4 linked regions of the Diceros bicornis minor genome follow. The protein of the gene in region 1 purifies or fractionates together with the protein of each later gene. This does not show direct contact. Links are inferred from orthologs where the notes say so. Each region holds a gene or a part of one and is shown in the gene's direction. Other genes may lie near its edges.

Region 1 (7,871 bases):
AGAAACTCTTTGTTTCTTTACACTTTAATAATACTTTACCTATGTATTATTCAGATTATTAAAATGAAACATTAGGTTGTAATTTGAAGTTACCTGGTGTTAAGAAACACTAAAAGAAAGTTGGAAGACTAGTCTGTATTTGAAGGAGACTAAAGAGACGTGACAACTAAATGCAATGCCTGGTTCTTGATTGGATCACAGATCAAAGAAGGGAACACCTATACAGGATGTTACTAGGACAATTGGGGAGATTTGAAGCTGGATAATATATTAGATGCTATTGTATTAAGGTTTAATTTCTGAGCGTGTTAGTATTCCTGTGGTTATATAGCAGAATGCCCTAGATCTGGAAATAACATGCTGAGATATTAGGGATTTTAAATGATTTAGAAAACTGATATGTATACACATTTGCTTTATCTATTATGTACATAAACAGTTGATGAATATAGGTGAAGAGTATGTGGGTGTTCATTGTAATATTTTACTTTTTTTTAATCTTGAAAAAATTCAAAGTTAAAAATTGGAGGGAAGTTTGGGAAGCAGTTGAGAGGAGTTCATATGTCATTCACCAAATCTGCATCTCCAGAATGTTAGTAGAACATAGTGCTTTGGGGAGTGAGAGATGGCAGTTCATTCATTCATCGAGTGCTGAAGTGTTTCATGTTCATTGTCTCATTTAATCCTTAAAAAAACTTTATGATGTAGGAAACTGAGACACATGGGTTTAAAAACATTAATTAGTAGAGAAAGGGCCTTTATTTGAAGGCAGACATTCTGATTCCAGAGCTTAGACTCTTAATCATAAAACTAATGTGATGGTGGTTGCAGCCAAATTGTGTAGGACTCTGAATTCCACGCTTAAGAATTTAGACTTTATACTTTATTGTTTTACTATTCAGAGTGTAGTCCTAGGTGTTTAGGACATTACCTGGGAGCTTGTTAGGAATGCAGGAACTTGGGTTTGATCCAGGCTTACTGCATTTTCTTTAGTTTCCCTAGTCTGAGTAGGCATGGCATCTGAAAAGATTCCTTTATGACCAGTGTCATATAGTGTGTTGCCTATATTTTCGTCTATGAGTTTTATAGTTTCAGGTCTCACCTTCAGGTCTTTGATCAATTTTGAGTTAATTTTTGTGAATGGCGATAGCAGATGGTCCACTTTCATTCTTGTGCATGTGGCTGTTCACTTTTCCCAACACCATTTATTGAGGAGACTTTCCTTTCTCCATTGTATGTTCTTAGCTTCTTTGTCGAAAATTAGTTGTCCGTATATGTGTGGTTTTATTTCTGGGCTTTCATTTCTGTTCCATTGATCTGTGTGTCTGTTTTTGTACCAGTACCATGCTGTTTTGGTTACTATTTCTTTGTAGTATGTTTTGAAGTCAGAGATTGTGATCCCTCCAGTTTTGTTCTTTTTTCTTAGGATTGCTTTAGCTATTCGGGGTCTTTTGTTGCCCTATATGAATTTTAGTATTCATTTTTCTATTTCCCTTAAGAATGTCATTGGGATTCTGATTGGGATTGTATTGAATCTATAGATTGCTTTAGGTAATATAGACATTTTAACTATGTTTATTCTTCCAATCCATGTGCATGGGATGTCTTTCCATTTCTTTATGTCATCGTTGATTTCTTTCAATAATGTCTTGTAGTTTTCATTGTATAGGTCTTTCACCTCCTTGGTAAGATTTATTCCTAGATATTTTATTCTTTTTGATGCAATTGTAAATGGTATTATCTTTTTGAGCTCTCTTTCTGTTAGTTCGTTATTAGCATACAGAAATGCAACTGATTTTTGTAGATTGATTTTGTACCCTGCGACTTTGTTCTAGTTTTCGGTTATTTCTAATAGTTTTACAATGGATTCTTTAGGGTTTTCTATATATAAAATCATGTCGTCTGCAAATAGTGAGAGTTTCACTTCTTCGTTGCCTATTTGGATTCCTTTTATTCCTTTTTCTTGCCTAATTGCTCTGGCCAAAACCTCCAGTACTATGTTGAATAAGAGTGGTGACAGTAGGCACAGGCTTACTGCATTTTAACAAAATCCGTAGACGATTTGTTGCACATTCAAGTTTGATAACCACTCTCCATAGTACTGTTGTTTTCACATTTCTAGTAGTGTTGAGTTAAAATAATCTTGAGTGTTGTTGTTGGTCCCTAATCAACATTGACAGTATTATTGTTTCAGTTGAGGAAAAGTTTAGAATTCAACAATAATTTAATAAACTTTGGTAACCCATTCTTAAAGTAAGAGTAATTTGCAGTTGATGAAATAGTAAGTGTCTTTTCGGTACATGAGTATTGTCTGTTGAGGTGGAGATGTTATTAAAAATCAGTACTTGGTATAGTTCTACTAATCTGTTGTATGGTATAATTATTTTGAAATTGCTGTATTTAGAAGAGTATTTTGATAATACCTGGGAGAGAAATGCATTGTGTTGAGTGCTCTTTGGAAAATGAAGTTCAGAAGGTCTATATTAACTTTCTTACAGATATTGAAGCACAGATTCGAGAAATTCAAGGCAAGAAGGCAGCTCTTGATGAAGCTCAGGGAGTGGGCCTTGATTCTACAGGTTATTATGACCAGGAAATTTATGGTGGAAGTGACAGCAGATTTGCTGGATATGTGACATCAATTGCTGCAACTGAACTTGAAGATGTAAGTTACAAAGTATCCAAGAGTCAAGCGTTTTTTTTGATGGAGAGCAAGAAATATAAAGGAATTTTCTGTTTGAGTCATCTGGTTTAATCTGGGGAGACATTTTGGAGATTGGGAGATCTTTCTTTTGAAGGATAAAGCTGTTGAAGGTGTCCTTCCTCTCTAAAGTTCAGAAACTTGTGGAAGTGCTCAGTTCTGAATCTTTATGTTAAAGCTAGTTTATCTAGTAAAGCACCTGCAAATCATTAACTATTGTAAAGTAAATCCCTGTTGTCACCTACTGAGCTCTATCTAGAGTTGCCCATGTGAGAAGTGACTTCATTGTAAGTCATCTGTCCTTAGGACTTTTGATTTCTGACTTGTGCTTGATGCTGTTTTTTTTTTCCCCTTGGCATCTTGTGTGAATGGAATGTTTCTTGTTACCGACATGAATGGCTTTTTGTGCCTGTTTTAGTTACTCTGGAGGATGATCACCTCTCGTTTTGAAACACACCCCTCAAAGTGTTTTTTATGTGTTCCACATAGCTTATATTTTGTCAGACCATCCCAAACATACAAATTTGGTGAAATAGCTATCCATTTTTGTGTGGTTCAGTAACAAACATTTTATGTATATAGATTATCAAACATGTTATTTTTATGAAATTCAAGCCACATTTTATTTTATAGTTGGCATTTTTTTTTTTTAAAGCAAAATTAAGTCCCAAAGGTAGAATTTCTAGAAGCCAATCAGGCTTCTATTTGCATTATCATACCTTATTCGTATGAGACAGTGATGGCTATATGTTCCAGAAACTGAGGGGAAAATTATTTCGTTTTTAAATAAAATAAATGAGGTGTTAAGATCTTCTTGAGAGTTACCCACTGTTGAACTTCTTATAGTAGTAAAGTAACACTAACATTGTTGTGTTTGAACATACTACTAGGGAAACAAATATATTTAAAATTAATTATATTTTACTTGTTTCTGTGGTTAAATCATGTTAAAAAAACAAGGAAACTAGAGAGCTCTAAATAGTCTATTTGTAGTTTACAAATTTGGAAAACAAATTTCATCATGCCTTCTGTGAGAAAACAAAATGCTCAGATTTTTCTAGTCCATACCGACTTTAACTGACTTCCACAGAAAGCATGCCTTGTTTAATATTTTTAAAAGAGTGAAGAGAACTGAATTTCATTTCTTTAATAGCCTTTTGAGTTGAAAAGAAAACCAAAGTATTTATAAGTTTTAGGAAGAAGGGTTTAGACATCAATCACACTGTCAGTAAGTCTTTTGATTTCATGTTGAATCTTTATGTATTCTTTATCATTTTTAAGTTCTGACATTTTGTTTGTGGCTTTTGGGGGCATTTCATTGCAGGATGACGATGACTACTCTTCATCTACAAGTTTGCTTGGTCAGAAGAAGCCAGGGTATCATGCCCCTGTGGCATTGCTTAATGATATCCCACAGTCAACAGAACAGGTGACTCTTTTTTAAAAATTATTATTAAATTCAGAGTTTATTCAGCTAAAGAAAACAATGTCTCAATTCTCATGGAAGCTCACATATTTTAGGAATCAAGTTGTTAGAATGTTTTGATGAGAGTTAATTTGGGAGAATTAGAAATAATAGTTTATTTTATAAAGGTAATCATTTCATAAAGAAACTATGGAAATGTGGACATGTGTATTGTCTCATTTACGTATCCCTTATTTTCTCATATTAACGTTTATCCATAAAATGATACAGAATATTTTTTTTTTAGTAGGTAGGCATTTATTAAACATTTTTACGTGTTTTATAATGTTCTGATTTTTGTTTGTGGTACTCTGTTTGGTTATTTAGTAAAGTGGGTATTAAGTGAGATATAACTCTTTTCAGTATGATCCATTTGCCGAGCACCGACCTCCGAAGATTGCAGATCGTGAAGATGAATACAAAAAGCACAGGCGGACCATGATAATTTCCCCAGAGCGTCTTGATCCTTTTGCAGATGGTAATTCTTTCCCACTTTTCTATAAGTATTCGGAAATTTATTTGTATTAAGTTGTCTTTAGCCCTTTGATTTTTTTTGGCATGCCTATGAATTTGCTTTTCTTTTTTAAAATCCCCCTTATAGATTTGTATAGATTTGGTTGAAGTCACAGATGCCATATTCTTCCTCTTTATAATGCAAGTTTTCTTTCCAGGTAGAAGGACAAGAAAATAATGAGCCAATGCCATAGAAACGCAAAGGGTTAAAGGTTTTTCTTTTACTTTTGTTTTGGGTACGCTTTCTATACTTTGAACAAATGTGTTTTTCTGCTCAAAATACTTTCAAATTATTGAAAGTTTTCATTCCAAATCCTAGATTTTTAGGATTGTTACTTTTGAGAAACTGTTTCTCACATTAGAGCTCCATCCATGTTGCTCTAAATATAGTTTAGTAAACGCACCTACTTTGCTTTAAGCATAAAGTTAAAACAAAAATATGTGTACAAAGACTTTGATATTTTTAATAGTTGGAGTCTGTTTTGCTAATTTTAGGGGCATAGTGAGCCTGATGGAAGCTTTCCTCAGGTGAGTGAGTTTCAAAATCAAAATTAGGTGCCTGTTTCTTAAAATTAGATTCTGCTGCAGGTTTACAAATTAGACTTTCAGCCTGCATGAATTAGTAGGGATATTCTTTTTTTTACTTGCATAATTGTAATTGATTTAAACATGTATGTCAGAATTCACAGGCCCATACTAACTGTCCTTAATTTCTTTCCTACAGCAGTACTGCTATATGCCAGTCCTGTCTGCATTCTTAAGGGTGCAGTTCAACACATCCTCTCTAGATTATGGTGAAAAAGTATTCCAAAGGAAGTCTTATCAGAGCTAGTGTCAGAAAGAATGACACTATCAATTAGGCATGATCTTCAGCATAGGAAATGTCTTAGAATTTTATTATTTTTTCCTAAATTATGATGCTATACTACTTTGTATAGCTAATTATCACATTTCTAAAACTAGTGTGCCTCTGTGAATCTTGTTGTATACTGTTTGGGCTTCTTTAAGATATTTTGAAGTTTGAAAAACAAATACTGAAACTTTAACCAAGAGACTAACACATCTCTTTGTACACCACTTTTCTTCTGTGTGCATCATAATAACTGGTAGAGGTAATATATTTCAAGTAATATATTTCCAGTTGTAATTTATACTTTCTAAGAAAATAAAAATATGTTTCTGGGTCAACAAAACTCTAAAAGCATGAAGCCCTTTTTAGTAACATGACATCAGAATAAGATTATAGGTATATTTTTAAAAATCAGATTTTCTGAACTATAACTGTTTTAGAACATTATATGAGGAACTTATCTAGTCATAGTTATTTGTAGTCAGGATTTTAACAGCTTGCAACAGGTAATGTTTTGAATATAAATATCTTTCCAAAGTGTTACTAATGGTAAAGAGATAATTTTCTAGGCTTCTATTCTGCTGCTTGAAGTCAGAACTGCTGATGGAGACAAAGGCACGAAAGTGTACGTATTCCGGATTAGCAACCCAGGAACCCATCACTTCTGAAGACTCTAAACTGTGCTGTCATTTTGTTTTCATATGCATTAAAATATTTGTTTTAAACTGCTGTAGATATGTTTGTGTTCAAACAGGTTAAATTGATCAGCAAACTCAATAAAAAGTAAGATGTATAATTATTAAAGTTTTCCATCAAAAAATAAATTAAATGATTATGGAATAACATAATATTAGAGCAGGGCAGATAAATCAGTTGAACCTAATTATCTTTTATTTATTGTACTCTTGTCCTGTTGCTGTTCTTTTCTGCAGGAGGGAAGACCCCTGATCCTAAAATGAACGCTAGGACTTACATGGATGTAATGCGAGAACAGCATTTGACTAAAGAAGAGGTATGTTAACCTGCTTTTTATTTTAATGGTTGTGAAAGAAAGTGAAGAAAGTAGAGATTGAGTGACTTTTGTATTTTCTTTTTATTTGCTGTACAAGTAATATTTTAACAGCTTAATAAAAATTAAGTTGAGAAAGAACCTTACCCAAAATTCTGTCACCTCCCAAATTACACTTTTCATGTTTCTATATCCTTTTCTAGTCCCTGGTCCATTGGCTATATATCTATATACGTATGTATCTTATGGTGGATGTATCCGGGAAGGATTGATAGTGTGTGTCTGAAGCCAGTGTGTAAGGGAAAAGTGAAATAGTTAAATCATTCTTTGAAAAACCTCTAATTCTCTCATAAGATTCAGTTTGGATATGGGTGGAGAATTCCTGAAGAATTCCTGTTGGCCTACAGAGATTGCTCCATCTTGTTTTAATAGTTAGCCTCCAAACTTAATATGAATATATAATAGATTTGTTTGTTTTATGGATTAAGTGGGATAGTGGAACTCCATTTTAAAATCATGGGGTAAATTAAATATGCATTTGTTATGACTATGTTATTTGCATAGTTATAGTCACTTTTATCGCTTATATCTTGCTACATTGTCTTAATTGCTATTTATATGAGTTTTAAATAAAACTTTATTTTTGAATGGAATCATCTTTACCGTTGACTGAAGATTTTACTTCACTAACTGTATATAAAGTAGAGTGCTTTATGTTATAAATTCAGTACTTGCTCATCTGTTGTGCAGAAGGACATTGTATAAAACTGGCGATAGAGAGGGAAAATAAGGAAGGAGAATGAGTGAAGAATAAAATGACGTGAAATCATGAAATAGAAATGACTGTCCTAATGATATAAAAAGATAATTGAAAATGTTTTAAAGATATTCACTGCTTATTCAAATATTTTTCAGAGAGAAATTAGGCAACAGCTAGCAGAAAAAGCTAAAGCTGGGGAACTAAAAGTCGTCAATGGAGCAGCAGCGTCCCAGCCTCCCTCAAAACGAAAACGACGTTGGGATCAAACAGCTGATCAGACTCCTGGTGCCACTCCTAAAAAGCTATCAAGTTGGGATCAAGCAGAGGTAATTTCTTAATTTTTGTTACTACTATTTTTAATGTTTTTATCTCATGAAATGTATTCATCAGCTCTTGTTGGCATACAAGATAGCACAAACTGGGCAGCTTAAACAAACATTTATTTTCTCATGGTTCTGGAGGCTTGAAGTCCAAGATCAAGATGCCAGTTGGTGTCTGGTGAGAGCCCTCTTTCTGGCTTGCAGATGGTTGCCGCCTTGCTCTTTCCTCACATGGCCTTTTCTCTCTGCTTGC
Region 2 (7,848 bases), on another chromosome or scaffold:
ACCCCGCACCGGTCACAGGGGGTCCACTCCCAGAAGGTGGTGAAGACATGGAGGCTCCCATGGTACTCGTCTTCAAAGGGCTCCTGGCCCTGGTCCTTGAAAGTGGCCACCATTCCCTCACTGCTCTGGATGTCCACATCGTAAGCGTAAAAGTAGTCCCCCTTGCGGGTGCCACAGAAATACAAGCCAGAGTCCTCAGGCTGGGCCCGGAAAACCAACAGGCTGAACATGCGGATGCTGAAGCGGACCAGCATGTCACTGCCCACACGCACCTGGGCTTCCTCTGTCAGCACCCGCCCATCGAAGTCTGTCAGCACTTTGGTGTGGCCGCTACCTAGGTGCTTTTGGTAGTACCAGACGACAGCAGACACCTCCTCTGGCTTGCAGTGGCAGGGAAGCTCGAAGCTCATGTCGGCCAGGTAGGCTGCATTGTCAAACATCAGGAAAGCCGGGCAAGAGGTCCTCTGAAAAATGTTCTCCTTCTCCACAATTTCAAAGGCCTGGAGACTCCCCCACGTCCACAGGAGCACAGTGGTGTGGGCCAGGTTCATGCCTGCAGGAGGGAAGGGTCAGAGAGGGCAGGCAAAACCAGGCACTAAAGGTCTTTGGGGCTTCTAGAAATCACTGCTGGGAGGAGGCATCTATATGAGGAAAGAGTTAAATAGCCAGGAAAAGAAGTAACAATCTGTAAAGCAAGCAGCCAAAAGCAAGGCAATTTATTCCCAGCTGATATACAAGACACCCTTCTGATGTTCCAGGCATGATCTGGAGGGAAAGCCATTCTAGAACCTGGCCCTCTCTCCCCTTTCTAGAACACTGGCACTCACCCAAGAATGGGTCAGGGGAAACCGGAATGAGAAGCAAGGGCCCAGGTGCTAGGACAGGAAATCTCGGCCTCTCTGCTCCAGGCCCTGCCCTGCCTACCTAGTGGGAAGGTCTTCCCTTTGGTTAATCTGGGAGTTGAAGGAAACCCGCCGGCCTGCACATCTGGCCACCTGAAGAAGCCTGGGAAGCTGGCCAGACCTGAGCTAATGGCTTGGGGCTTTCCCAGGCCCAGCCTGCAAAGGAACTCAGCCCCTGGGGAAAAAATACTGCACCTCAAATGGGGTACCCTTTGATCATTTGTGGATTAAATGTCCATTCATTGGTTTTAAGTTATAAAGATTCTTGTTAAGAGCTATGGAGATCAGTATTTGTTTACCATGGAAGATTAATGATTTTCCTTTTTCCCGTTTTTTTGAGTGGAGGCTGTAACGGGTGTAGCCAGCATTTGGTTGGGCACACACCCATCTCTCAGGGCTGAGGGCTAGAGGCTTGGCAGACAGTAAGGGTGAGAAGCAAAACACTTTCAACTTCTTGGGCCCTTGACCATCCTGTGGATCTACACACTTCAGAATATTGAGCCACCGCAGGGCTGGAGAAGAAGGGAAGATTCGATTCCTGCTTTTGCACTGAAAATTCCAAGTTGAGAAGGGAATTAGGTGTGGGTTTCTCATTACAGTCCTGCAGAGCTCCCAAGACAACAACCAAAAAAGTCCTCCAATGAGCACTGGGGGCCTCTGAAGGTAACTGGTCCTATTAATCCATCTGGTACAGCCCTAGCAGCTCTTGGAGGAGCCTCTCCTCCTCCTGGAGCCCAGCAGGCAGCTCCTCCACACTCCACTCCCTCTGGCTGAGCCCTTCCTTCATGGGTCTGGGGGCGCCCATGGCCTGCAGCTTCTGAAACAAGCCTCTGCAGCTCTCTCTTTGCACGTGGCTCAGCAGGCTCAGGTTCAGGGTGAAGCGCCCGGTGCTGGCCAGGCTGCGCAGGATCCCCAGCACCACTGACCGGTCTGCCGGCCTCACGTGATCGGCCAGTGCCACCAGCAGCTCCCCTAGAAGTCCAAACCCCACATCCGTCTGGAAGAGGCGGGCCAGCTTTGGACCCCCGAGCTGCAGCAGGGCCTGGTAGCGCTCTGGCCCACTCCGCAAGTATCGCCGCCAATCACGGTAGAAGTCTGCCGAGGTCTCAGGCTGGAGGAGTATGTTCTGGATCACAAAGGAAGGAAAAGGAGTCCTGAGCTCTTCCAGCTGTTCCGCAACAGTGAGAGTGAGGGGAGCCTCTAGGTTTCCATCTTAGCTCTGGTACTGCTCCCTGAGCACTGGGAAGGCTGTGGTCCCTGTTTTTCAGAGGTGGTCCCTCATTTTCAGAGGAAGGAACGGGGAAGGGGACAGGGCAGGAGGGTCCCAAGGAACCCAGGCCATGATTTGAGATTCTCAGTTGTACCAGGATTTTCCTACTGATGAATGCAGACATAGCCCTGCTCTAGGAGAGTAAGTGAGGGTTTACTTGGAACAGGGCGTAGGGGATGATCAGAAACCTCAGGAAGAGAGAAAGGAACTCAAGGTGAGTGTTAAGAATCTGACAGGCTGGGTCTCCTTCCCAACACTGCCACAGAATCTTTATACTATACACCATATAACCCAGAGGCAGAGCAACCCAAATCTGATCTGGGAATGCAAGTCAAAGGACTGATGGAAGGGAGCTGCCTCGCCCACCTTTCTGACTTGTTCTGCCCAGTCTAACTCAGCCTCACCATCCACTAGTTGCTTTTCTTTCTGGGATTGGAGGCAGAAACCTGCCTCTGTTGGCTTAACATGAGAAATAAGGAAAAAGTATGTGTTGTAAGAAGACAGGATTGGAGGTTTAGGGCAGAGAATCCAGCTGGGCTGAAAGGCTGGGCCTCACCTACCTGGGAGATTTCAGTGGTCTCGTCCTGGGAAGTCCTTCCCTGAGTAGTGTGACAGTTCCAGGGCACAGTCCTCTTTCCTCCTATCTTGTCCTTCTGCTCTAGTGGCTTCAGATGTGATGCAAGGACAATACCCCTATGAGCAAAAGACACAGATCAGAGGATGGACCTAATGCTGTCTGTGTATGGGAGGTGGCTGGACTTTGCGTGATATAGGCTGAACCTGTTGGCACACCAATATGACAACAATAATAACAATACAATCATAATGTGCCGCATAATGACGTTTCATTCAACGACGGACCACGTACACAATGGTGATCCCATAAGATTAATACCATATAGCCTAGATGTGTAGTAGGCTATACCACCTAGGTTTGTGTAAGTACATTCTGTAATGCTCGCACAATGATGAAATAGCCTAATGACGCATTTCTCAAAACATATCTCCATTGTTCAGCAAAGAATGACTGTAATAACACCAGCAACAATAGTTGACAGCTTTTGAGCACTTCCCATGTGCCAGACATTGTGCTCACAATCTTACATGTAATAACTTATTTAATCATAAAAATGATTACTCTCTTTTACAGATGAGGAAATAGAGGCTCAGAGAGGTTAAATAACTTGCATAAGATCACACAGGTAGCAGAAGGCAGGGCCAGGACTGAGCCCAGAATTGTCTGACACCAAATCACATGCTCTTATCCACTACTGTTCACCATAACAGGAGGGCCTGAGAAAAACAGCATTAGGCCAACCTGAACTCCTCATAGGAAGCCACCCTCTGTTCCACTGCCCGTAACTTGGCAGCATTCTCCCGTTTGTACTTCTCATCAGCAGTGAGTGCAGCCTGCAGCTCTTTTTCTAACGCCTTGAAGTTGATGATGTCATTTCTTTCCATGGCCTGTGCAAAGGGACATCAGAGAAGGGTCAATATCAGGGGGAAGAGGGTACATATGAAGTCTTTGCCAGCCCACAAAATGATCCAAAACCACTCTGGATATCTTGTCACTTATCTTGGGGAGTGTTACAAATATCTAGTTCTCTACAGAGGGGAGCTGAGTTGCACAGTGAGGACTTGCTTAAGACTTGCTGTCACTGAAAATAGAGAGTCCTGACTTTCAGATTGGAGCCTTGCTTTAATTTTCATCTCTGCCTCTAAAAATACTTTAATTTTGATGCTTGGCTGAGGAGGTATTTGGATCTCAGAATTCAGTCCACTAACTCTTCCACATGGGTTCATTCTATAGCAAGTTGTTGTGATAGAGAACCTCACACAAAAGCAGAACTATTGCTAGCCGCTCTTGAGCCCTGGGATAAAATTTCAACCGTCTTTATCTGGGAAAGATACATTGCAACCAAACCAGATGCAATGACTAAGCAGGAAATCAAGTAGAAGTTAGGCAGAGGAAGGGGCTTAATGATCCCTGTCCCCACATCCCTCTGTCCAGCCCAGGGTTCCAGCACAAGTCCCTAGGTACTTGAGCAACCTCTTTAGTTCTGCCCCTGTACTTCTGCAGCCTGCACGTATCTGAGGCTGACTGATCCTTTCTACAGGGAGATCCTGTATATGTGTTCTAGTCTTGGCTCTGGCATTTACTTGCTGTGAGACCTCTTTGAACCTCAGATTCACGGTGCTTTGAGCTAGATTTCGTGGCGGAGTCATCATCAACGGCCCTAGGGCAGGGAGGCAGGAGGTCTGCAAGCAACCCCATAGCCCTTTCCCTCCACCCCAAAGTGGGTAAGCTGAACACCAAGAAGGGCGCTGGGCTGGCCAGGAACTGAACTCAAGTGTCCTGGCTCCTGTCCAGTTCTGAGCCCTCCCCAGTCATTGAATAAATAGAACTAACTCTTCCGACCCTCTGACCTTCACTCCACCAGCCCTGGCCTTGATTCCCTTGCTTTCTTTGAAGATCCCCAGATACGCGAGAACAGGACAGCTCAGTGTAGACCACGCCCAGCAGCTGTGGTTGCCCAGCAACTGCTCCAACAGCCTGCTCACGTGATCGACCCGAAGGCCCCCTTCAGTGTGGTCCCAAGGCGCCTGATCAGATTCAGGCCTGCTCAGCCCTCACTCTCTTGGGAGCAGCCCACTCCTTGGTTTGGGGGCCCACAACTCCACCTCGCCTGTTCCTGTGTCCGCGGCCGGCATTCTTCCGAGCTGGTCCTCAGGCAGAGGGCTGTCCTCCGAGGCAGAAACGCGACGGCGGCCTCTGCGGGGTCCTTCTGGACGGCGGGCGCACACATTGCCGCGGCGTGGGGCGGAAGCGCGGTCTCCGGTGGCAGACTTGGAGCTTTTGGCTAAGCGGTCGGGAGGTGAGCTGGCGCGGGTCAACCGCATGGGAAGTGGGATGGGAAATTAAATAATGTCCGATCTGAAAGAGACGTTATATGCTATCTGATTCTTTCAATTTACAGATGGGTAAATGGAGGCGTTCTGCGGGAAAGGGAAAGAAAGGACCCCCCCCCACACACACACGCACCCCAATTCCGCGGTTCCCTCGATATCATTCATTCGTAAAACCCCTTTCCTGGGCAGGGGTCGTGCTCTCACTGTCCAGTCCCCTCTCACTCCCTTTTCCATCTGTTCCGCCTTCACCCTTTCTCTACCAAGCTCCCTCTGTCCTTATTCTGTATTCCGTTGAGAGCCTGCGTTATAGCGGGAAGCAGCAGTGAGGTTTGGTACCGCAAGTCGTTAGTTTTATGCAACTGTGGACAAATCAGCTGTCTTCTCTGTGCCTTGTTGGAGTCATTCATGCGTTTAACACATACTAATTGAGGTCCTGTTTTGTGCTAGGCACTGTTCCAAGTGAACAAAACAAAGTCCTTCCTTAAATTGTAGTTGGGGGGATGACAGTAAACACATGAATATGTCAGCTACGGATAAATGTTATGAAGAATAATAAAACAGTGAAAGTGGGGATTGGAGAGTGTGTGTATAGGGGACTTTTTAGAGTGACAAAGGAGGTTTCTCAGAGCAGGTGACATTTTAGTAGAGACCTGAGTGAAATGAGGGAACAAGGTATAAATATCCAAGAGAAGATCATTTCCAAAGAGAATAGCAAGTGCAATGGCCCAGCAGCAGAAATGAGCTTGGCTTGTTCCATGAAGAGCCTTCTATAAAAATTTCTGCAATCACTACGTGGGAGTCTTGGGAGAATGAAATGAGCATAGATGTGATAGCTCTTTGGAAGTAAAAAGAATCTCGATGTGTATGAAAGTTTCCATTATAATTTACATTTAATTACTTGTCCTTGGAGCTCTTAATTCTCTATTTTATCTACAACCAGCACTCAACAGGTGGCATTGAGGGAAATGGAGGGATTAGCCTAGTACAAGGAATATCAGTATCTCAAAATTAAACAGTCCATTCGGTTAACATTTATCTAGTTCCTTCTTATGCATGGTGCTGTCTGGGGCATTGGCAGGTGGGCACAAGGAACTCAGCGTTCGTGAATTCAAGAATGGCCAAAAAATAATGCTAACTAATGTTTACTGAGCCTGAGATTGTATAAATTCTTTACACAGACTATTTTGTTTAATTCTCATAACCTTTTATGCAATGGGGACTATTCACTCCATTTTCCAGTTGAGGAAACAGGTTTGGAGAGATGAAGTTACATAGTTATTAGGTACATAACTTACCTGAAGTTACATAGTTATTAAGTGACAAAGTTAGGATTCAAATCTAGATCTTCCAGGTTCAGAGCCTTAACCCTTAACTCATGCTGTGGTCTGCTGTTTATTTCTTGTAAGCTCTAGAGTTGTTGGTGAGGGTATTTAGTACAGTTAACTGACATTCAAGACAGAATTAAATGCTGATAAAGGTGCAAAAGGTTATAGTGGCATAGGAGAGTGAGAAATTGCAGATCTAGGAAAGCTTGAAGGAAGTGTCATTTGAACTCTTACTTTGAATAGAATGTCAATAATTGAAGTGGAGAAAACCCATGAAATACTTATTAATTACAAAGAGAAAACAAGTAACTATAATGGAAAAGCCTGGTAGACACCACCATAATCAGGTGATTAAGTTAGCGTTACCACTAATAGGACAAATTAAAATCGTGTACCACCTGATGGGAGATGCACTGGAAAGAACACAGCATCACTTCTGGGATATTCCTGCCAAAAATGCATAACCTGAATCTCGTCATGAGGCAACATCAGACAAACTCAAATTAAGGGACATTCTACAAGCTCAGTAGCCTGTAATCTTCAAAAGTGTCAAGTCATAAAAGTCAAGGGAAGACTTGAGGAACTGTTCCAGTTTGAAAGAGACTCAAGACATGACAACTAAATGCAAATATGTGATTCTAGATTGGGTCCTTTACTGTGCAGGACATTATTGGAACAGTTCGTGAAAGTTCACTGGGAGTCTGTGGATTAGGTGGTAGTAATGTGTCAATACTAATTTTCTGATTTTGATGGTTGTATTGTGGTTCTGTAGGAGAATGTCCTTGTTTGTAGGAGTCACACGCACTAAAGCAGCAGTTGGCAAACTTTTTCTATTAAGGGCCTATATATTTACTAAAATATAGTAAATATTATAGGCTTTGTGGGCCATATGGGCTCAGTTGCAACTACTCATTTCTGCTGTGACAGTGTGAAAGCAGCCAGACAATATAAGTGGATGAGCATGGCTGGGTTCCGATAAAGCTGTTTTTATAGACACTGAAATTTGAATTACATATAATTAATTTTCATGTATCATGAAATATTATTCTTTTGATTTTTTTTCAACTTTTTTTTTTTTTTTTTTTTTTTTGGCGAGGAAGATCAGCCCTGAGCTAACATCTGCCAATCCTCCTCTTTTTGCTGGGGAAGACTGGCCCTGAGCTAACATCCGTGCCCATCTTCCTCCACTGTATATGGGACGCCGCCACAGCATGGCTTGACAAGTGGTGCATCGGTGCGCACCTGAGATCTGAACCAGTGAACCCCGGGCCGCCACAGCGGAGCGCGCGCACTTAACCGCCTGCGCCAACCGGGCCGGCCCCTTTCCGCTATTTAAAAATGTAAAAGGCATTCTTACCTTGGGGGCTGTAGGAAACAGGTGGCAGGCCAGATTTGGCTACAGGCCATAGTTTGCTAATGCCTGCATTAAAGTATTAGGGAA
Region 3 (7,432 bases), on another chromosome or scaffold:
GGGGGAGGATGGTTGCAACTTGAAACAGGGCTGTCATGGTTGGCTGACCTCATCTGAACAGAGATTTGAATAAGACTGGCCAAAAATATTGGCCGAGGAAACAGGAAGTGCAAGGGCCCTAAGGCAGGAGCTCTGCTCAGACAACACCATGAAGGCATGTAGCCTAGAGAGGCAGGAGCAAGAGAAGAGATCAATTAGGTAAAGGACAGCCTTGAGGGACATTGTGAGAACCTCTGACTTTTACTGTGAGGGAAACAGGAGCCACTGTCTCCCCACTGACTGGATCCCCTTATCACCCCATCTCATCCAATTGTATTATTAATTTTTAAAAATTCCTGCCAATCTGATGCTGTAACATGATAATTCATTGTTTGCTTTCATTTTCCTAATAGGAAGGTTGAGTGTCTTCCATGTTTATTGTCTGTTTGGAATTGCTTTTTTGAATGGCCTGTTTATATTCTTAGCTCATTTTTTACTGAGTTGTTTGTATTTTTTATATTATGTATATTATTAGTAGTCCTAGTAGTAGTACCCTTTCACATGTTATAGGCATTATAGAATTTACCTGCTAATCTAGCATTTATCTTTGACTTTGTTTTGGGCATCTTTTGCCATAAAATTAAATTTTTATATAGATGAATTTTTAAAGTTATTTCTTTTACAGTTCTTAGGTATTCTGCCTTGATCAAAAGGTCTTTACAAACCCTAGGTTGTACAAACAGTCTTTTAAATTTTCTTTTTAGATTTTTATGTTTCTTTTTTTCCTTTTGGGTGTTTAATTCAACTTGCTGTAGTGTTTGTGCAAGTTTTGAAACTGGAATTCCTACATTCAACCTGCCATAAGAATAGCTAGTTTTGTAATCACAGTTATTACATAAAACATCCTTTTCACATTCACATACCTTTGTCATATTAAAATGAAGGAGCTTTTTTTTTTTTTTTGCTGAGGAGGATTCCCCCTCAGCTAACATCCGTTGCCAATCTTCCCCTTTTTTCTGTTTTATGTGGGCCATTGCCATAGCATGGCAGCTAACAGACAAATGGTGTAGGTCTGCACCCGGGATTCAAACCCCGGCCTCTGAGGCAGAGCATGCCAAACTTAACCACTAGGCCACCGGGGCTGGCCCAAGGAGCATTTTTTAAGGTTAGGATATACTACACCATATCCAAGAGCTGATAAGAATGATCCGAGAGGGCCAGCCACAGTGGCCTAATGGTTAAGTTCAGTGCACTCTGCTTCGGCGGCCCAGGTTTGGTTCCTGGGGGTGGACCTACACTGCTCTATTAGAGGCCACGCACGCAGTGCTGGCGGATGGGTTGATAGATTACGAGAGACGTGAAATACAGTAGGATGCCAGCCACTAAGAAGGCTGGAGGAATAGGGACCCAGAGCACAAGGAGAGGGCTTGGGTCACCTCGTCTCTACTAATACGTGGAAAGCTGGGGGTATGAGTACAGTCAAAGGCAGCTTGTTAGATCTGCCAGTGGGGCAGATGAGGAGTCCTTGTTGAAGAGCTTCTGTCTTCCCAGAGAAGTCAGGAAATCATCCATTCCTGGGAAAGAGGATGAGGAGGGAAAAGAGGGTGGAAGAGGTGTGTAGATTTGAGGAAACGGCAATGTGGGAAAACATATTATTGCAGAATGGGAAAATAAACAGGAGAGTATAAGAGGATTAGCAGGCAGAATTAAGGGCCCAACTAGATTTTTGTAGTAATGGGTTTAAAATGAGAACTTTGGGGAGGTTATGTATGATTTTTTGCCAGCAAAGGTAGCTGATGGTGAATTTTAAGTTTTTAGTAAGCTTATTTTCAGTTTCTTTTTCTAATACTTGCAAACTATGTCAATACCTTTACAGTTTCCTTTTCTTATTAGTACTTTAAAATCACTTAAGTAAAAACTTTTTAGGTTCTTTTTCTTATCAATACTTTCAGACCATTTAAGTCAAAGCTTTTGATATTGTGGACTGATTATATCATATGTTGGTGTTAATGAAACTACAGGGGTGGTTATTTAATCATGGTTGGTGATCAAAAAATTAGGTGGTGGGCTAGGAGTTCAATGAATTGGGGTAATTGACTCAGGGCTGATAAGGGCAGTTGAAACATAAAACCAGGGGTATTTTCTATAATTGTGTCACCACCTTGCCATTGTTACTTCATCCCTCCACTTCATAGTGCATCATTCATTCATTCATTCAACAAATACTTACTCAGCACCTATTATGTGCCAGGTACTGTTCTATATGCAGAGGATACACCAGTGAACAAGAGAGACAAGGTTCCTGTTTTCCTGGAACTTATGTTCTAATATAGGAAGATAGACAATAATAATAAAAATAATATTAATAATAATAACAACTAACATTTATTTAGCAAGTACTGTTTGCTGAGACAGTTCTAAGCACTTTACAAGTATTAATTCACTTAATCCTTAAAATAACATGAGGGACCAGAATTATCCCCATTGTATGCACGAGGAAACTGAGGGCACAGACAGGGAAAATAACTTGCCTAAGTTTACACAGCTGGGAAAGGCAGAACTGGAATTTAGAACCAAGACCATCAGGCAGTAGATCCCTTTTTCTCAAGGACTTTGCTATGCGGCCTCTCAGACAAGAAACAAGGCAATAACCAAATAATGAACAGAATAAATTCAGGGAGTGTTTAGTACTATAAAAAAATAAATCAAGGTGACGTGATGTATTTATGTGTTGGACGGGTGGGGGTGCAAATGCAGATGTCAGGGAAACCTCACTGAAGAGGTGACATTTGAGCTGAGACTTGAAGGATGGTAACAGTTATCTTGGGGCACAGGCAGCAGTGAAAAAGCTAGAGCAAAGGAATCTTTCCTTGTTTGTGAAACAGAAATGCTCAGTTGGCTGGGGCTAGAGCTTAGTGTGCAAGAGAGTGACTGATTAGAAGTGAAGTCAGGGAGGCAGACAGAAGCCAGACTCCATGGGGCCTCAGGTCACATAAAGAAATTTGATTTTTATTGTACGCGCAGTGGATTTTTATGCAGGAAAGTAACACTACTTGCTTCTTAATTTTGAAAGATCACTCTCACTGCTATATGTAAAATTGACTGTAAGACAAAAGTAGAGGCAGGAAGATCTATTAGGAGGCAATTACAATCCAGGTGGAAAATGATGGCGGCTTGGACTAGAGTAGCAGCAGTAGAATGAAATTTAGGGTGTATCTTGAAAGTACAATTAGCAAGACTTTCAAAAGAACTGGATGTGAAGAGTGAAGGAAAAGGAATTTGAGTAGGAGCCTTGGGATTTTCGCTTTGAGTAACTAGTATGATAGTAGCGTCCTTTACTGAGATGTGTAAGACTAGGGGAGGAATACCTTTGGTAAGAAAAATCAAGAAAGATTTTCATCTTGAACTTTACGGGGGGGGGGGGGGGGGGGGCTTTTTCTACCTTTTTTTTTTTTTAATGTAAAAGTTTCAAAGAAAGAGTTCTGGAAAAAAAGCTTTTAATGTTCAATTTCATGAGCTCTTTACATTTGAAACTAAGTTGAGGGAGTTGAATTTTTGTTTAACAAATATTCACTGAGCATCTACTGTGGCCAAGGACTACGTGACGAGATACTAAGACGAACTAAGCAAACAAGATCCCTGCCCCAAGAGTACTTTTTCGGAGAAGAAAAAAATGAGGATTGGTGGCTTTTTTTTCCTTTTCGTTGTCTTATTAAAACTTCACCTAACGCATGAGTAGCCATCTTATAATAACTGATTCTTGTGCTCCTGGTAGTTGGGCCCACCGTTCTAAACGCTCGATGTCGGGTGAATAAATAAACGAATCTCTAAGAGTGACATCTCCCCCTCCCACTAGAACTTAGGCTTTTTAAAAAATAAAAATTTTAACGAACAATACGAATACAACCTTTGTTTTGAAGGCTAATATTTTTGCAGGAATGGTACCTTTATAAAGATCGTGGTTGCCCCCGTACATATTTGTTCTTTCTTCATATCCAATTAAATGAAAACACTAGTTTTTCCGTAGCCCAACTCTCTAGGCTTGCTGGGTCTAGCTCAGGAGAGAGGAAGCAGAAGCCGACGGATTTAAACGGTTGGGTGGAATCTTTCTCTACGCTCTCTCTCGCTAGCCGGGGACGTGGTGTCGGTTACCCGGGGCTTTCCGTCCCAGCAGTACGGGAATGAAGGAGTCTGGGAGGGGGTCGGGGAAGGAAAAGGCGGAAGAGACATTAAGTAATTGGTTCTTCAGGGTATAAAATTATGTTTAAGGTCTACTCTAAAGGACCGATTTCAAACGCCCGCCCCCTGGGCCGTTTCGGCCCCGCCCCCTGTTGTCGTCACGCCGACTTCCACCTTGACCTCCGCGGATTGGTCGCTGCCTCCGCCTCTGAAGTGCGATTAAAGAGCTTGGAGTTTGTTTCCGGGTCATGGGCCTTGACCCTGGGCGCAGAGGTTTCTGGGAGCTCAGAGTCGTAATGGTGTCTGTATGATCTCCGGAGGTTGCTGCATCGGAGTTTGGCTGACGTGAGCGCCGGGAGGACCGCGGATTGTCTTCCTTATTCGAGTGGGGCGGGAAAGGACGATTGGGGTTGGAGTCGGCGGCGGAGAGGCCCCGGAGCGGCGGGCAGGTGGCGGAGCCCGGGTCCTGTCGGGCGCTTCCAGCGTCCTGGGCCGGCCGCGGAGAGCGCAGCGTGAAGGCCGCTCTGCAGACGGCGTTAAGCAGGGTCGGGGCCCCGCCACCCCCGCGGAGTCGGGCGTGGGGAAGAGTCCGCGAGTTCCCGGTGACAGCCCGCGGCGAGCTCCCGGGAGGCAGGAGTATTATCTGGGGGTGTGTGAGAGGCGGCGGCAAACCCTGTTTCTCCGTCTCTCCATTACATCCCTTTTGCTTTTTTGAAAATGTAGAGTATACCAGTTCTCTCGTTTCCCCACGCACTTGCTTTTCCGACGCTAACGAGGTTTTGGTAGACGAAGCTGCTAGGCAGCACTCTCTTGGCTGCCCGAACCAAAAGTAACAATAAGGAATAGGTCCCTGACTCTCCTTTTATCAGAATCCTTTGCGGATGAGATTCCTGTCTTTTGAGCATTCCTTAAATTATAACCTACAAAAGATCTAATGTATATGATGATGGCCGCTGTAGGAGAAAATTGGATCAACAAGAAGGTTGTTGGAGAATTTAACTTATGTAACTGGCATTGAAGTTTAGCACAGTTTCAGTAACTTTGTCAGTGATTTTTTAAATATCTTTTTTGTTTTTGTAGTTACTAGCCTATTTTCTGTTGTATGAGGTTTAGATAAAATGCAGACCTTAGGGAGTCTGATAGAGTAAGGTTGAGCTGAGAATTTTTCAAACTTAGTCATGACAGGACTGTATTTTTCGAGGCTTTGACACATTAAGTCTCATAATTCTCATAGTAATCCTGTGAGGAATATCCCATTCCACAGCAGATTCAGCTAGGTGACTTGCCCAAGGCCACAGAGCCAGAAGAACAGGAACCCAAATCCAGATCTTCATGATGGAATTTTTTGCACTAAATAAGAGCTGCCTAAGAAGCCATATTCTGAGCCTCATTATTTGTTTTCTTGAGAACTTTTGCTTGAGATTGTTTAAATTTTGGAGAATGAGTTTTGGAAAATGTTTCACAAGGATGGATATTGATTAATACTTTATGAAATGAGAGCTTGTCATATTGGAAATAACTTGATGCTATTTTTCTTCAAAGCATAAAAGATGACCACAGCAGCTAGGCCAACCTTTGAACCGGCAAGAGGTGGGAGAGGAAAAGGAGAAGGTGATTTGAGCCAACTCTCAAAGCAGTATTCAAGCCGAGACCTACCTTCTCATACAAAGATAAAATATAGGTAATGAAGGCTTTCATTTTTTTTGTTTGTTTGTTTACAAAGCAAGACCAAATCTGTTAAATGGCATGGTCATGAGATAGTAGCATGTTTGGGTTATATTACTGAAGTTTTCTGTTTCCATAGGAGTAGAATACAATAGAATGTTTAACACTAAAATTACTGTCTGTGATTGTAAAATGCTACCAGATATTCCTTATGTAGAAATTCCTATTAACTGGGAATTTCCATATGTAGATGAAACAATAGCTAATACATTACCTCAGAAGGACCAAGCACTATCAGCATTAATCAATATGAGATTAAAAGTGTTACAGTAACAGGCCCTGAGTTGACGTGACACTAACAAAAAGTGAAGACGTTTTAATCAATCTGCAGGCTTATTATGGGAAAATATGTGATGGAGTTTGGGCTTCTTGAAATATTGGAAACATCGCAAGGATGCCTGTTAGTAACCTTCAGATTAGGGTAATGAACTTGTCTAGTTCCCTCTTTTTTATGCTTGAAAGACTCAAGGAGACAGTTACTTTTTGTGAATTGTCTTCCATTGCTACAGCCATGTCTCTCTTAGTAACATTTTTGCTGTGATTTGTTTCTACTTTAGACAGACCACTCAGGATGCCCCTGAAGAGGTTAGGAACCGTGACTTCAGGAGAGAGTTGGAGGAGAGAGAGAGAGCTGCTGCAAGGGAAAAAAATAGAGATCGTCCAACCCGAGGTATCAACACTACCCCAGACATTTGTCTCATAAAATTATGTCAACAATTGTTTTTCTTTCATTTGCTAATTAGAACAGATTAGTATTTTTGCTTGTTTGCTTTAAAATATTGATGTGAGCTGTAACACTTTCTTAAATGTTAGAGATGAAAATGAGGTTGATTCCAGTTTCATCTTTTTATGTTTCTGTGTTAGAAAGAACAGGGTGATCTGGGGATATTTAGCAGCCATTGTTTCAGTTCAGATCAAGTTTTTGACTGTTTACAGCAGCCAAACTTTTTGAGGCCCCGTGGTTTCTATGAGGGTTTCCTATTTTTGTTACTGACTATTGGAAAGCATCTAGGGGCATCGGTTATAATATCTTTTTTATGTTTTCAGCATATGTAAACTATTCCCTAAATTTCCTGAGAGAGGCAGCAGTTTCCATATTAAAATCAGAACTTTGATTAATTCATTCAACAAATATTTACCAAGGGCTTATTTGCCAGGGACTGTGGTTCTGATCCCTGCTGTCATGATGCTTATAATCTAAGCCCTTTGTGCCCACAGGTCCCTAAAATGTCATTGGAAATGCAGTATTTGTTTTAGTAAGCTAAATGATGTTTGTTTTTCCCCAGAACATACAACCTCCTCTTCAGTATCAAAGAAGCCTCGGTTAGACCAGATTCCCGCGGCCAACCTCGATGCAGATGATCCTCTAACAGATGTATGATTTGTTTTCTCCTTTCATCTCCGTATAGTAATTTATTTATCGTGTTTCCTGAATTACCTTTTTTATTTTTTTGGCTTTAAGAAGTGACCTGTATTTATTTTTACTTACTGTTAGTCAAATGTAGCCCTGACTTCAATGCTAAACTTTATAGTTGATTTTAAAACAAAA
Region 4 (6,949 bases), on another chromosome or scaffold:
AATTTACAACATATGCCAAGTATTCAAATTACCACACAAATTTTAAGGTTAGGAAAAGTATTCAAATCAGAATAGCAAGTGACCTTATAAAGAACAGATGTAGGTGACAATTTATCATTTACAATTATTAACTATTACTCCCCACTTTAAAACATAATTACCAGTATTTGACATCTTTTCGGAGGAGGCAGTGCCTGCATTTCCTGGAGCAACCAATACTTGTTTGACATGATTAGACTGAGCAAGTTTCCAGGCCAGCGTATGTTCCCTTCCTCCATTGCCAATTACAAGTACTCGAGCTGCCATTGCTGTCTGCAAAGCAGGAATTCAAAAGGAAAATGAAAGCTGCAGAAAGAAAAGCACAGTTGGTATTTCAGAATGCACATACTTCAGAAGTCACGATTTCTAAACATGATTTACGTAGTCATTTGTATTCATACAATGACATTTTATTCCAACAATTTATTTGTGAAAAATTAGGATTCATAATTTAAGAAATATGACTGTACTCATAATGATTAGGGAGGTATTTTAAAAATGAGGCAGATGGGCCTAGACAGCTAGGTTAAGGAATGCAACAGCGACTTAGCTCTTTACCTGTTAAAAAAAAAAATCTATGAATAATCACCCTTCCTTGGGCTTCTCCTTTAGAAGATTTAGTAATCATCAAGCCTCAGTTAAAAATGAATCTTGATGTTTTAAATTTAGACCCAAAACTTGAAATAACTTTTTTCGTGTGTGTGAGGAACATTGGCCCTGCGCTAACATCCATTGTCAATCTTCCTCTTTTTGCTTGAGGAGGATTGTCCCTGAGCTAACATCTGTGCCAATCTTCCTCTCTTTTGCATGTGGGATACTGCCACACCATGGCTTGATGAGCAGTGTGTAGCTCCGCGCCTGGGATCCAAACCAGCGAACCCTGGGCCACCGAAGCTGAACGCGCAAACTTAACCACTATGCCACCGGGCTGGCCCCGAAATAACTGTTTTTAAACCTTGAGATCGTATAGATAATAGACGTTAAAGTTATCATAAATTGGAGGCAATATTAAGACTGGGGGCTACAAAGTCAGATAGTAAATATTTTCACCTTTGAGGGCCATAATCTCTGTAACTACTACTGAACTCTGTCACTGTAGCACAAAAGCAGCCACAGCCAATACATAAATGGATGCTATGTCCAGTATACATAGGCAGTGGCCTGTAGGTCACAGTCTGCACTAAGCAATAGGAAGCTACCAGAGGTTTGTAAAGAATAAGCATGGCTGTGTTTCAAAAAAACTTTATTTATGGATACCGCAATTTGAATTTTGTATAATTTTCATGTGTCAAAAACATCATTCTTCCTTTTATTTTTTTTCCAATCATTTAATGATATAAAAATTATCATTATTTGGTGGGCTGTACCAAAACAGGCGGCAGGAAGGATGTGGCACTAGGGCCGTAGTTTGCTGACCCCTGATTTAAGAAATTAGTGCAATAAGTTAGAAAATTGGTAGAAAAGTCAAAAATCAAATCTGAACACATCTCACTTTAGTTCTGGCATATGATTCTGAGCAGGATGGGTGCAATAGCACTCTCTTTCAACTCAAGTGAGCAGTGTGACATTGAGTAAGCTTTTACTATCTGTAATTCAATTTCTTCACATCTTAAAAGATGGAAGTAAGAGAACTTGCCTTATGAGGCTACTTAAGATTAACTGAAATGACATTTATAAACAATTAGTGCAATTTCTGACACTCAGCAGCAGTAAACGCTAACTTGCTATATTTTATTTATTACTTTTACCTAAATTGATAGTACTCTACGGATAGAAAGAAGTTCTAACAGGAAAAAAAAAAAGCCAAAGTAATGAATAATTTGTCACATTAATTTACTAATTTTCAGAAGACATTTATGTAGAAGGCAAACTGATAACAGGAAAAAGAAGACTGAAATCAGTAACTTATGAGACGATAGGATTACCCATTTAAAGAAAAATCTAACCTGATAATATAAAAAACACTTTTTGAGCACTTACTTTGTGCCAGATGCTATTCTAAACTGTTTTCATGAATTACGTCACTTAATCTTTGTAAGAATCCTATGAGGTAGATACTATTACCATCTCCACTTTACAGATAAAGCGAGGTCCAGTAAAATTGCTAGAGGTCACTAGAGCCAGTAAGGGGTGGAGCCTGGATTCCAACGGATGCAGTTTTGCTTCAGATACCCTAACGATTGAGACGGTGATCACTGAAAATTTGAGGAGAGAAAAAAACCCTGCTAAATTACCCTCTCAGAGGGGGACAAGCTATTTTAGTTTAATGGAAAGCACAGACTTGACACGTGTATTAAAATATCTGAAATAAACATACCTTTGAACCTGGAGAAAATATTACGTTCAGTTGGAATACGAGGGGCAGGGAAGGGAAACTGTCCTGGTTAGTAAAGTGGATCACTGAAATAGCATTAGGACTCAGCTGGAAGGAATCTACCTCAGGAGCGGGGAGCAGGCCTTGTTTTGGGCCAAGACTCTGCCCCTTAAGCTAGGATACTTTGAGGGACTTAATTAACCTTCTTAGGCCTCTGTCACCTAAATGGGTAACATAACGAGAATGAGAGATCCAGGCAAAGCCATTTCAAAAGATTTGGTGAATGATATAAAGCAGAAACCAATTCCAAAAGTCGACGAAATAATCTGCTGGAGGCAGTGGGTGCATAACGAGAAAATACGCAATTGAGGTTTACGACCTAAAAAAAGCCTAAAGACACAAAAAGGTCCCGACATCTTAGAAAGCAGGGAAAGTGACAGAGCCAATGGAAACCTCAGTCCAAAGAAGTGAAAAGCACATGGTCACCCCCCACCACCCACGGCGTTTAAAAATAAGACAATCCCCACAGCCGAACAGTTCCTACAGTTTCATTCGATGCCTGGTATTAAAGCCCCCAACCAAAGCATAAATGGACTTAAAAGCGGAGGGGGTTACGCACCGACACAAGGCCGTCTCCAGGTTGCACTCACCCGCCTCGCCTGCCCGCGCCGGATGTCGGCCGAGCGGATGCGGGCCCGCGCCTCCCCGCCCGCCCCGCGGGGCTTCTCCTCCCCATTGGTCGGCGCGGCCCCTGGTTCCCGCTAAGACGGGGTTAAGTGGGACTCCCTCCCGCGCCGGGCGCGCCCTGAGCCTACTCCAGAGCAAGGCTATCAGACCCTGGCGCGTTTCTCTTGTAACACTAGAGGATCAGGCCCACGTAGCGTGTCTGTTCCTTCTCGGGAGCCTCCCAAGCTCAGAGGAGGGGCAGCGCCAAAATGCTAACTCCACGCTTAGCTGCTTGTGTTGCTAACGAGGCAGAACTGACCAGGCAGCGCGTACAAGTCTCGTGACACGCCTGGCGCCTGACGGGACTAGAATGCACCAGCCTCTGAATGCAGATGGCTCAGGACCTCCCGCCTATTGCTTAAAAAAGAAAAAAAGGAAATGAAGCCGATTATAGGATCCCCTGCGAGAGAGATGGGGTGAAAGCGTGTTCTTCGTATTTGCACCACAGTGGGGGCGGGCGCTGATTAATGCTTTTCCGGACGCATCTCCCTGCTGAAACTCAACTTGGCGCCACCCGGGAATGTTGGGGGGCCCGTATCAAACACCATGTTGCCCTTCTTGCTCCCTTTCCTGTTGACATTTAATCTCGGGCGTTCGGTGGCTAAAATAAGCCTCTTAAGTCCCCCAAACACCGTTGGGGACTGACACATTAAGCTCGCAGACTTCCCTCAACAGAGACTTCTCCTGTAATGGCGCCTGCGTCAGTCACTAACATGGCGGACACAGTCGTGCGCGGCGCAAACGTCAGCAGCTCTACCCCAGACGCTCAGAAACAGCGGAGGAGAGCGGAGCCGTCTTCACTGATTGGTTCAGCGGTGGAACGTGCCGGTCTGGGCGCTCTCCCAGGAGCCAATCAGGACGGCGAGAGACGGAATTGGCCTCTGCGCCTCCTCCCGAGGCATGCTGGGAGCCTGGAGGACTAGCGAGGAGGAGTTGAGAGAACGGAGCGGACGCCATGGCGACCAACATCGAGCAGATATTTAGGTCTTTCGTGGTCAGTAAATTCCGGGAAATTCAACAGGAACTTTCCAGGTAAACGTTTCCCAGACTCTTCTGCTCCCAAGGGACCGATAGGGCGCCGTGTAGCCTTCCATGGCACCTCTCTTTTGAGGCGCCGTCGTTCCTCGCCTCAGGCCCCGCTACAGCCCCGCCTGGGCCTGGGATCCATTTTCCGGGCCCTCCCCCCCCATCCGTTCGCTCCCTTCCCAGCCAGGAACTTCGCCCTTTCCCAGGGAACCCCAGACTCCCTCTTCTAGAACCGAGTTACGATGCTCGCCCTCCTCTCCGGTTTGGTCATCCCCTACCCTTTGGCTCCTCGGCGGCCTGGGTGTCCGCCGGGGACGGGCCTAGTTCCTGCCTCGGCTCCTCCTCCGCCGCCGCCGCGTCCCCCTCCCCCTCCCCGCCTCCGCGGCTCTCGCCGGCCGGTGCCTCTGACCGGAAAGGGTCTCTAACGGCTGTTTCTTGGGTAATCTTAAATCCGCTTTATTATTGCAAGCTGCAGATCATTTGGGGATCGGGATCCTTTAATTAGATTATTTGGGCCCTAGTGTCCAGTGGCTTCCACCAGGCCGCGTTCTAATAGCTTAGCAATTTAAAACGGCTCAGATTCACGTTAGCTACTTTGGCGAAATATTCCAGGCGGGGATGGAAGGGGACTTGGAATTACTAGTGATTTCTGAATTTACCAAGTGGAAAGCGGGGTTTGTGTGTAGGTCTCAGTTTTTTTTTTTTGCTACCCCTGCCCCAAGTGACATATTTGAGCAACACGTTTCTTTTGCCTTTGCTGTTAGAATTTACGTAGTTTATCCTCGATTCCCCAAATTTGAATGGGAAGAGATTTCCGAAGAAATAGTTGTTTCCTCAGTAGGGAGAATAGCGTGGATCATGTTGTCGTTCAGTGGTTGTCTTTTAGTATTTTTGCTTTGTATAATAACGTAACTGTTTGTTCCGAGTTCAAATGTTTTTGCTAGTTGTCTTTTAAAAGTTGAGAGCAAGAGCAATACGTGAATTTGAAAATCAGCCGAAAACGCAATTGTAAATTAAGCACTCAAATTAACATAGAGTTATTGGGGGCAATGATGTAGTATTGCTGGAATTATTATTCTTGCAGGATATATTGTTTTTTAACTGGAAGGTGTATCTCTTCACTCATTTCACTGCTTTAAAAATTTTTTTGTGCTAGTGATTTTAGGTTGATGAGAAAAGACCTGAGCTAAGGGAATATAATTTTCCTGAAAACTTTTTAATAGTTGCGTGCAATAAGTAGTTGTGTTTTTTTATTGTAATGCCTTGTTTTTATTCCTTTTAAGAATCAGTTTTTGTAATAGAAAATGAGTTTCATTGTAGAAAATTTAGAAAAAAGAGGAGAAAGAAAATAAAAATCCACCAATTAATTATATTGATGCTCTTTATGTCCTTTCGTTTTTTTCCTTTGCGTACAGTTGCATATACATGTTTTGAGAAATGTGATCGTGTTTTGTGTTGTTTTTTTTCACGTAATATACATATGGTGAACAAGTTTGTGTTCTATTACAGTCTTAGTAGTCTTTTGGGACTTTTTCATGGCTCTTTAGACTTCTATTGTAGGAACGTATTGATGGATAGTTAGATGGTTTGAAATTTTCATCCCTTTTCAGCAATTGAGGTAAACATTCTGATAGCTTTAAGAGGATAACTTTCTCATAGACTGGCCTTTTTAGTGAGGTAATTATGTATGTGTAAGTGCTTAAGAAAAGTGTAAAATGAAGAGTTCTGGAAAGAAAATCTAAAAAGGATATTAAAGCAATTTATTACTAGAGGAATGCTCAGCTTCTTAAATAATAGGTAATATGTTACCAGTCTGAAAACAAATTTTTGATTATTTGCCATTTCAGTGAGCTATATTTGCATTTTTTCCCACCTGTTTTTATATGTATCAGTTTGGGTAAGGAGACTTCCATTTAGATAGTTATCATATATAGATGGGGGTTAGGAATATGAGCTCTGGTTTTGAATACCAGTTTCACCTCTTAATAGATGTGACCTTCAGCTAGGTTTGTTGTCTCTGCCTCGTTTTCCTCGTTTATAAAATGAGAGTAATAATGATGATCTTAGAGTTTTGTTAGGATTAAATGAGTTATTAAAATGTAGAATTGGGTGACACTAATTAATGGTCCATAAATGTTCATTGTTATTATATGATTCATTATATTAGAAAACCAACTGTTCCTTAATAACATTTAGTTGAATACTGAATTTTTAAATTTTTTGACTGTTCAGGCTTTTATCAGGTATTGGAAGCATAAGTTTTTGTTAGCTGTGTCTGTTTTGTTAGCTAAAATTTAAGTTAAATTGTTGAAGTTATTTTTCAAAACAATTTTGTAAATGTAAGCAAAAATAGTAAGAATGACTGGGTAAATAAATGTCAAGATTGTTCTGGCTCTGTGAATTGAAAATATGTGAAGCCATTCATTCCTTTACTGTTAGTATAATGAATTGTCACTTGTTTTACATGAATTTTTTTTGAACACCAGGAATTTTTTTAATCCCAGGATTTTTGATAACTGGATAAAAATGTTTTTAAAGTTTATGGCATTTCAGTAACTTAAGTCTAAACCTGATCAGAGGCTGCAAGTTACCCTTTTTACTTAATGTGTTTGTGTTCCTTGATACTGATTATGATCCGTGCACAGGCGTGGCTTTATCGTGGCTATAGCTTCTCCCATAATGTTAGGTCATATATTTTTCTTTGGATTTGAGATGGCAATCTTAATTTTCCTTCCCTGAGATAAATATGCAGGTAACCTAAATCTAAATCAATTTAGGTTTCTGGGAGAATTTTATTAAAAAAAAAAAAAAAAGATGAGCTTATAAATTTGTTCAGAGACTTTT

What was found.
Region 2: the proteins of SF3B1 (region 1) and EFTUD2 purify together in Homo sapiens (affinity purification with mass spectrometry; 4 studies listed by BioGRID and IntAct, with this or other methods). This does not show direct contact. The link is inferred for Diceros bicornis minor from reciprocal best matches to the Homo sapiens genes SF3B1 and EFTUD2.
Region 3: the proteins of SF3B1 (region 1) and CWC15 purify together in Homo sapiens (co-immunoprecipitation; 3 studies listed by BioGRID and IntAct, with this or other methods). This does not show direct contact. The link is inferred for Diceros bicornis minor from reciprocal best matches to the Homo sapiens genes SF3B1 and CWC15.
Region 4: the proteins of SF3B1 (region 1) and SON purify together in Homo sapiens (co-immunoprecipitation; 3 studies listed by BioGRID and IntAct, with this or other methods). This does not show direct contact. The link is inferred for Diceros bicornis minor from reciprocal best matches to the Homo sapiens genes SF3B1 and SON.

The regions. Positions count from the first base shown.
Region 1 is NC_080749.1:75,268,765-75,276,635, reverse strand, and holds the start of SF3B1 (splicing factor 3B subunit 1), read left to right. Parts: upstream 1-4,870; 5' UTR 4,871-6,154; intron 6,155-6,461; coding exon of another isoform or gene 6,462-6,484; coding exon 6,485-6,541; intron 6,542-7,453; coding exon 7,454-7,624; intron 7,625-7,871. UniProt on the Homo sapiens protein: Component of the 17S U2 SnRNP complex of the spliceosome, a large ribonucleoprotein complex that removes introns from transcribed pre-mRNAs.
Region 2 is NC_080757.1:43,343,857-43,351,704, reverse strand, and holds the start of EFTUD2 (116 kDa U5 small nuclear ribonucleoprotein component), read left to right. Parts: upstream 1-4,848; 5' UTR 4,849-5,048; intron 5,049-7,848. Other genes in the region: Ig-like V-type domain-containing protein FAM187A, read right to left, coding at 1-551; CCDC103 (coiled-coil domain-containing protein 103), read right to left, coding at 1,579-2,028, 2,733-2,865, 3,491-3,633. UniProt on the Homo sapiens protein: Required for pre-mRNA splicing as component of the spliceosome, including pre-catalytic, catalytic and post-catalytic spliceosomal complexes. Component of the U5 snRNP and the U4/U6-U5 tri-snRNP complex, a building block of the spliceosome.
Region 3 is NC_080746.1:38,948,205-38,955,636, forward strand, and holds the start of CWC15 (spliceosome-associated protein CWC15 homolog), read left to right. Parts: upstream 1-4,427; 5' UTR 4,428-4,503; intron 4,504-4,602; exon of another isoform or gene 4,603-4,807; intron 4,808-5,700; 5' UTR 5,701-5,708; coding exon 5,709-5,839; intron 5,840-6,440; coding exon 6,441-6,553; intron 6,554-7,169; coding exon 7,170-7,258; intron 7,259-7,432. UniProt on the Homo sapiens protein: Involved in pre-mRNA splicing as component of the spliceosome. Component of the PRP19-CDC5L complex that forms an integral part of the spliceosome and is required for activating pre-mRNA splicing.
Region 4 is NC_080766.1:34,057,111-34,064,059, forward strand, and holds the start of SON (protein SON), read left to right. Parts: upstream 1-3,949; 5' UTR 3,950-4,034; coding exon 4,035-4,111; intron 4,112-6,949. Other genes in the region: GART (trifunctional purine biosynthetic protein adenosine-3), read right to left, coding at 162-306. UniProt on the Homo sapiens protein: RNA-binding protein that acts as a mRNA splicing cofactor by promoting efficient splicing of transcripts that possess weak splice sites.